Linked DNA regions of Drosophila melanogaster. The protein of the gene in region 1 interacts with the protein of each later gene in a pairwise test. Each region holds a gene or a part of one and is shown on either strand. Other genes may lie near its edges. The genes, in order: CG17260 and Prosbeta2R1.

Evidence for each region.
Region 2: the proteins of CG17260 (region 1) and Prosbeta2R1 interact in a two-hybrid assay, tested with the Drosophila melanogaster proteins (one large-scale study listed by BioGRID).

What each region holds. Positions count from the first base shown.
Region 1 is NT_033779.5:3,035,051-3,039,405, reverse strand, and holds CG17260 (uncharacterized protein), read right to left. Parts: upstream 2,177-4,355; 5' UTR 2,135-2,176; exon of another isoform or gene 2,003-2,134; intron 1,996-2,002; exon of another isoform or gene 1,877-1,995; 5' UTR 1,813-1,876; coding exon 718-1,812; 3' UTR 613-717; downstream 1-612. Other genes in the region: cnir (cornichon related), read left to right, coding at 1-138, 203-275; SerRS (Seryl-tRNA synthetase), read left to right, coding at 2,256-3,761; CG17258 (uncharacterized protein), read left to right, coding at 4,164-4,355.
Region 2 is NC_004354.4:5,806,896-5,810,824, reverse strand, and holds Prosbeta2R1 (proteasome beta2 subunit-related 1), read right to left. Parts: upstream 1,872-3,929; 5' UTR 1,820-1,871; coding exon 1,731-1,819; intron 1,674-1,730; coding exon 1,494-1,673; intron 1,423-1,493; coding exon 768-1,422; 3' UTR 667-767; downstream 1-666.

The DNA.
Region 1 (4,355 bases):
GCATCGCCAGCGGCGCGATAGTCTGGGTGTCTACGATCCGGTGGACATACACAGTCGGGGATTGCTAAAGGTCCATCTGAGAAATTGTATGATTTATCTGGGCTACTACTTCGTTATGTTCTTCGTGGGGTTGTACTGGTGAGTTAGACGTTGAAAACTGCATGTTCATCTCTACGAAGTTATCTGATTCTTGTCTTTACAGCCTTATTTCGTCACTAATCAAGGGAGATCCCATCAAGCGGTATGAGGACGACGAAATAGTAACGGATTTCTGAAGTTTAGCCAAATAAGCCTGCACCAAAGGGCTTCCAGCAAATTTCTTCATCCTAGACCGAACTACCAAGCCTGGTTATAGTTGCAATCTAAAATTCTGTAACTAAAACTTAGGCGTACATCTAACAAACAAGTTTCCTCGAACACTTTCGCAGAATTTGATAAGAGCATTTGCCTGATTCTCACAACCTAAACCGAAAATTGATTGAAAATTTTCCTTAGACTAGTTAATTTATTATTTTATTTTTAAATCTTTAAAAAAGACTGTAACACCGCAGTGTGCTCAATTGCGTTAACAGGATAGACGAAACACTTGCCCAAACCAACCTAGTCGCACTTCATCTTCACTTTATTTATTTAATCTTTAGCAATATAAGCGTATTCGAATAGAAATCACAAAATACATAACCATACACAGTAAGCTGTTCTTGAGTCGATCATCTGTTATTGCAGAAAGTCGACCACCTCCTCCAGTTCTCTTTGGCGAGCCTGTTTCTGGGCCCAGCGCGCCTCTGCGGTCTTTACGCTGACCACCCACCGATCGTGAGCCAGCTTGATGCCGCACACAGTGTCCTCCGGAGTTTTGGAAACGGTGGCTCCTCCTCCCTGTGACCTGCCCATATAGGTCTGGGCATCGGAACGAGGATGGCGACGCGCGGCGGGACATAATTTGCCACCCTTTGGAAACGGAGGCTCCGATAGGTATTTCTTAAGGCAGCCTTGGTGAAAGAGATGACCACAGTAGACGCGCTCGATGAAGAAGTCGGCATTGTCATCCGTTTCTATGTCCTCTGGGTATTCGGGTAGCACGGTACTATCACATATGGGACAACGCTCGGTGTGAAAGTCCCGGGTGGCTTCCAGGCAGAATTTCAGCGAGCGTTGCAGACTCCTAACAGGCCGAAAATTGGCTAGAGCCTCCTTGCTCATACGGATCGGTGGCTCCACGCACTGCCGGGCTATTTCCTTTGACTGGCCGTTTAGGTAACGCACGAGCACGGCTGGGAGATTGGAATCTTGACCGCGCAGCTCCACACTCTGCATGGGATAGCTGTCCGGAACAACAGCGATTACTCTGTAGGTGTAGCGTCCGCCCTTGGCGACCAGCTCCACGCTTTTGTTCTTCTGCTTCAGCTTCAACTGGCTCTCCGTGCCTCCAGTCTTGATGTCCGCTCTCAGCTGCTTGATCTCCTCCAAGCACACGCACAGCGGATTATCAGTTAAATACTGTTGGGCGAAGGCCAGCACTTGCAATGCCTGTGGCTTCCCGATGAAATCCCTGGCATAGTCGTCGATCAGCCGGGTAAGCTCCGTCAGAAGCATTTCGGAGTACACACGACTCTTCAGCTCCACCAGAATTTGGGTGCTCTGCGGGTAGTTTTCTGGAAATCGAAGGCACATAGTCATCGAGCGATTCGGCCGCTCCGGGTATATGTCAACCCGGATCAGCGAGTTGGAGCAAATAATGATCTTCGTGTGCGGCACCTGCTTCTCACATTTTGCTCGGAACTCCGTGACTTCCTGGTCAATAAAGCTCATTGTTGAAGTCGGAATCTGTTGCGAATTCGCTGCTGTTCTCCTCCTATTGGACTATTTTGAACAGCTGCTAAAAGCAAGTAGTGTTGTGAATTGCTGACATGTATGTTTCAAATGATGACGAATAAAGTGTACGTTTTAAGCGATATTTATATTGTCAGTTATGTTATTCTGGTTATAAAGGGTATTTCTTATGGGAAATAACTAAACAGAAAATATAAAAAAACATTATAAAATTCTTGGGTTAACTTTTCAGAAGCACTTAGAAATTTGATGAGTCACAAGAATGAACTTCGTCATAATCTCAGCCAAAATATGCACTTACCACCATCGCTTTCCAGCACTGCCCAGCTGACGAAAAGCCTAGCCACGTTGTGAAAACGCCGACGAAACGCGAGAGAATCGAAGCTAATACGCGACTGAAACTGAAATAAAGGGTAACTAAAATGGTGCTGGATCTGGATCTGTTTCGCAGCGACAAGGGGGGCAACCCGGACCTCGTGCGCGAAAATCAAAAGAAGCGCTTCAAGGATGTGGCGCTGGTGGAGACTGTGATCGCCAAGGATACGGAGTGGCGTCAGTGCCGCCACCGTGCCGACAACCTGAACAAGGTCAAGAACGTCTGCAGCAAGGTGATCGGCGAGAAGATGAAGAAGAAGGAGCCGGTTGGTGCCATGAGCGAGGACCTGCCCGCAGACGTGACCAAGGACCTCACAGAGATTGTAGCCGAGACACTGCAGCCGTTGACCGTCAACCAGATCAAGCAGCTACGCGTTCTCATCGACGACGCAATGACCGAGAACCAGAAGTCGCTAGAGCTTGCCGAGCAGACGAGGAACACCTCACTGCGGGAGGTGGGCAACCACCTGCACGAGTCCGTGCCTGTGTCTAACGACGAGGACGAGAACCGCGTGGAGCGCACCTTTGGCGACTGCGAAAAGCGCGGCAAGTACTCGCATGTGGACCTCATCGTGATGATCGACGGCATGAACGCGGAGAAAGGAGCCGTGGTGTCCGGCGGACGTGGTTACTTTCTTACCGGAGCCGCAGTCTTTTTGGAGCAGGCTCTTATCCAGCACGCTCTGCACCTGCTGTACGCCCGTGACTACGTTCCCCTGTACACGCCCTTCTTCATGCGAAAGGAGGTAATGCAGGAGGTGGCCCAGCTGTCACAGTTCGACGAGGAGCTCTACAAGGTGGTGGGCAAGGGCAGCGAGAAGGCGGAGGAGGTGGGCATCGATGAGAAGTACCTGATCGCCACCTCAGAGCAGCCTATCGCCGCCTACCATCGCGATGAATGGCTACCGGAGTCTTCGCTGCCCATTAAGTATGCTGGTCTGTCCACCTGCTTCCGACAGGAAGTGGGCTCGCACGGACGCGACACTCGCGGCATTTTCCGCGTCCACCAGTTCGAGAAGGTGGAGCAGTTCGTACTGACCTCCCCACACGACAACAAGTCGTGGGAGATGATGGACGAGATGATCGGGAATGCGGAGCAGTTCTGCCAGTCGCTGGGCATTCCATATCGCGTTGTTAACATCGTTTCCGGTGCCCTCAACCATGCTGCCTCCAAGAAGCTGGATCTCGAGGCCTGGTTCGGCGGCAGCGGCGCTTACAGGGAACTTGTCTCGTGCTCTAACTGCTTGGACTACCAGGCCCGTCGTCTGCTCGTCCGTTTCGGCCAGACTAAGAAGATGAACGCCGCCGTAGACTATGTGCACATGCTGAACGCCACGATGTGCGCAGCCACTCGCGTCATCTGCGCCATCCTGGAGACCCATCAGACAGAGACGGGCATCAAGGTGCCGGAGCCATTGAAGAAGTACATGCCGGCGAAGTTCCAGGATGAGATTCCGTTCGTCAAGCCCGCTCCCATTGATCTGGAGTTGGCCGCCGCCGAGAAGCAGAAAGGCAAAAAGGAGAAAACCAAGAAGGACCCTGCCGCCGGTTAAGCCTAAAGTTCACATAATTTACTACGAAATATACTGCTAAACTAAGCTTGCAAAGTCCACAAAATTTTTGTTACTTATCGACTTATCTAATATTTATGGCATTTATAGAAACTTTATAACGATTAAACTGGATCAAGCTGTGCTTTGAATGCAATCGACAGTCTTTGTTATTAGGGGATAAAGGTTTTTTTTTCAAATGGCGGTATAAAAAATAATATCTGCCCAATAGATTCTATCCTAATAATAATAATGGTTGATAGGGAAAGTCACCCCGGCCGGCAGTTTTCGTTGTCAGGACAATATGTTCAACTTGTTTACGAAATTTTCCCAAGTTCACAAATCATTTTTAAATTGAGTAGACGTAATTTAACTATCACAGTGTGAAAGAATTGTTTTATAAAGATGTCGCATCCTAAGCGACGTGAGAAGCCGAGCAAGGAGACTCGCTGGGACCGCATACGCAAGCGCCACCTGCAGGCGAACCCTTTGGGACTAAAGACGGATGCAGTGCGTCGCCTAATCGAGACGGACTACGTTGGTAGGCGACAGGAGAGGCTTCTGATTGAAGGAGAAGATTCTAAACAGCTGAATCCT
Region 2 (3,929 bases), on another chromosome or scaffold:
CTGTGCATAGTGGGCACAAGGCAAAGGTGGCCGAGGCAAACAGTCGACAAAACAAAATCAGAGTCACCTTTCCCACCACCAAAGGATGAGGATGTGTGGCAAGGAGTGGACTTGCGATATAATCTTATAATGATGCTGGTCTCCGCCGGAGTTCCAGTTCTCTAGTCCCAAGTCCTGTATCCTGTATCTTGTGCATCCCCATTTCGAATTCCTGGCCTTATTTACACGTCCTCGCAGTTCATCGCCTGATGGGATGCTAGTGAAGTTGGATCCCGATTACGGGCGGACAAACACCTGGCCTCCTTCAAATCCATTCACCGCATTCTCCGCCAAAAGGACTCCCCAGATGCTTTGCCGGATTGATGGCAGTCCAACCATTGGGAATTGCGAAGAGATTCAAACAATTTTCGAGCAGAATGCTAGGCCACGCGACGGGTTCGGATTCGCAACCAGCTACACTGTGAGAAAAGAGCTGGCACATCTCTTGATTTATTTGACTGCCATACCACGGGAGTTCCGTTCGTTTGTTCTGAATTTTTGGCCAGTGCTCTCTAGTGGGCATGACCAACTTTACAACTTTCCCGCACATTCTATGCCCCCTAGGAAAAACGCCTGATGTTCCTGGCAGCCCAGAGTCGCAGAAGCAACAACATGATGCCAGAATTTCTAGGCAATCTTTGCATTCTGTGAATGCATTAACATTTATGTAAAGCCATGTGGCTATTTAACGGTTAATTTGCTCGAACTGAAATATATGGTATGGATGTCTATGGTGATTTAGTCTGCGATCCTTCGGGCAGTTCCTCATCCGCTTGCTGGGAATCCAACTGAACGCCACTGGTGCCCGGCTGTTGATCATCCACTGCATAGATTCGCTCATCGGTGACCTGCAGACTCAGCACGGAGATCGAGGTGACCATAGTGGAGTTGGGCTTAATGCCGTATTTGCCCAACCGCTCGCCTTTCTCGCTGGCAATCGTATCGGTTCTCAGGTAAACCGCTCCCTTTGCGGTGATCACGCATAAATCGATATTGGATCCGGAGCCCAGGTCGTTGAACACACCCGCCGAGATGGCCTCGCGGACCAGCTGCTTGCCCTGCTCCAGGTCGAGATCGGGCTTCCAGCCGTGCTCCAGCACCGACATGGCTGCCAAGGTGCCGGAGCCCATGGCCGCGTAGGGTATCTTATCGTTGGAACCGCACGGATAGATGCAGTACAGCTGCGGCCCAGTCGTGTCCACGCCGCCCATCACTAAGGCGGCACCAATGTGACCCTGGTAGCGAAAGAGGGTCCTGCGAAGCATCATGCTCGCACAGACTACCGGCACCCGTCGTTCGGTGTTCAGCCGGTGCAAATCCAGCTCGGCGCTGGTCGTCAGGGTAATCATTTCGGTGTCGGCAGCGGTGCCCGCGCCACAACAGCTGCGAATGGGTAATGCAGATATGTAGGGGTCCATTTTCAAAGGCGCATCAAGCGAATGCTGGGTACTCACTATATGTGATCCTGAAGGTGGTGAATTTTTGAGCAATTCTTGTCGGAAACAATGGGTCCCTCGGTGGCACGAGTGTCGGCGCCCAGGATAACGCCGTCCTTGTAGATGATGCCCACAATGGAGGTGCCTGTTTTGATCGCCTTCGGTGGCTCATATCCCTTGGACAAAAGCTCGGCATTTCTGTGGAGAAAATCTATTCGTTTTGGATATATTCATAATGATCAACATGTCTCTTACCGCCTGCAATTTATAAAGTTGAATCCGGACCGCAAGCCAACAAAATCAGCGGATGTATTCGCCTTTCGGGCGGAAAAAGGAAAGAGCATCGTGCGGATGTATGTAAATATATAATGTAGTGCGTTAGCTAGACAGTAAAATCAAAGATAACTTATCAATGGTTAAAAAAATAAACAAAGTTTAATATTTGCTTCTACGAATTATAGTCACAAGTTTTATGTTTTTCGCCTGCAAACACTGAGAGCCCATAAATAGTCTAAAAATTGCATATTCATGATGACAATTGATTTTTTCGCTTAATGAAGAGAAGGATTTTAAAACGAAATACTTTGGAATCGATTGGAAATGTGCTTGAGCGTAAAGAAATCGGAAATGTGCACTCGTTTGGAAGACCATCATAAAAAAGTGACCGGTGAAAAGTTATCGATGCAGCGGCAGCCATTTCCACCCATTTCCACCCAATGCCACCCATTTACCAACTGCACTTCAAATGCCAAACAATTTGACAAAGCTTAATTGGTTGCCTAGCCCACGAATCTGCATGTGAGTGCGATTGCCTGAGTGTGTGTGTGTGCGTGGGCGTGCGTGTGTGGTCGAAAGTTTGTCCATCTGACATGAGAATGTGTGTCCTTTCACACGCACACACACACACACAAACACACTCACGCGCACAAATATGAACTGACAGCTCTGCATATGTATTTGTATTTGTATTTGTATTTGTATTTGTATTTGTATTTGCACTTGCATTTGCATTCGTGTGGGTGCTCCATAATCCAAGGACACGGATACTCAAGCCGAGCGAGTGGAAATGGAAATGGGAATGGGAATGGGAATATGTCCTTGTAACTTGGTCAGTTTCAGATGGCCGACACCAGCACATGTGGCACAAATCAATTAGCATTAATTAGAATACAATTATATTTTAATCAACATTTGGCCAGCAAACTGCGACGATTGCAATGTTCACTTCAAGCTGTGATTTCACTTCACTTCAGTTGGGTTACCAAACCACCAAAAGGACTTCGCCATATTACGTTCATGTATATGTTATTCAATTAAAAAAAAAAAAAAGAGTTTACATACAGATAATACGAAGAGTGAGATATATGTATTAATTGAAATGTTTTTGAGAAAAATGCTGAATCAACAGGGATTCTTAAAGTGCCTACAATTAGAAGAGCTTTCATCCTTCGCTTTTTCAAGCCTCGAAAAACTTTTCCTCCGCAATTTAGGGCCGCAAAACTTTTGCAACAAATGCAAATGCAGCTAGAGTAATTTTCTTTTTTACCACTGCCATTCGCAATATTTTCGTCCGGGATTTTCCGTTTTTGGACAGCAGTTGGCTTTTCAATTAGGCGGCAGCACAAACACCTGACGGCGAAAATTCGGCGAGAATCGACATCCGATGGCAGGCCTAAAAATGGAAAACTAATCAAGACTTGGCATTCAATTTTGATTTCTGTTTTGTTAACAGCAATTGGAAAAGTTTGACGCCCGCACTTACCCTCAAAAAAAAAAAAAAAAAGAAATCGAACAGGTTGTTCTGCCCTCCATGGGAATCCCTTTTTTTTTTCTTTTCTTTTCTTTTTTTTTAGGGTTTCCCTTCATTTTATGTGGCCGTAACTTTGCCCAGGATAATTATGGTGAAATGCCGCCACTGACAAAAGGTTGCGTCCTTAGCTGATTGGAAGATTAAAATTTAATAAGATTATAAAGTCATTTGGGGCCCGTTTGGTGGATGTTTATTTGGGTTGCCGCAAATAACGCCATAAATAAATAAGATAGTCACTCGATGTCATCTGGTTATTGATTAAGTAACTGGTGTTTAAGTTATCGAATGGCTCTGAGAAGCTGACCTTTTGCTTAGATACTTAATAAGAACTATCCAGCAAACTGGATACATTTTTCCATTTCTCACTCTTTATAGTCAAAGTGCGGTTTTTTAATGGAAATTTTCGCCTAGCCTGCTGCCAATATTTAGCATGCTAATGACTTTCAGTTAGCTGAGAACTCACACACACAAACACAAAGGGAGCGATGCCAATTTCAAAAACGACGCCATGATGAGTCCTTTGATGTTGCCTTGCTGTCCATTTCCCATTTACTGGCTAGTCCCACTCGAATGGCGCTTGCATCCTTGTGGACCACTGCACTGCGCTATTAGCACACATCCAACCATATCCATGCAACATGCAA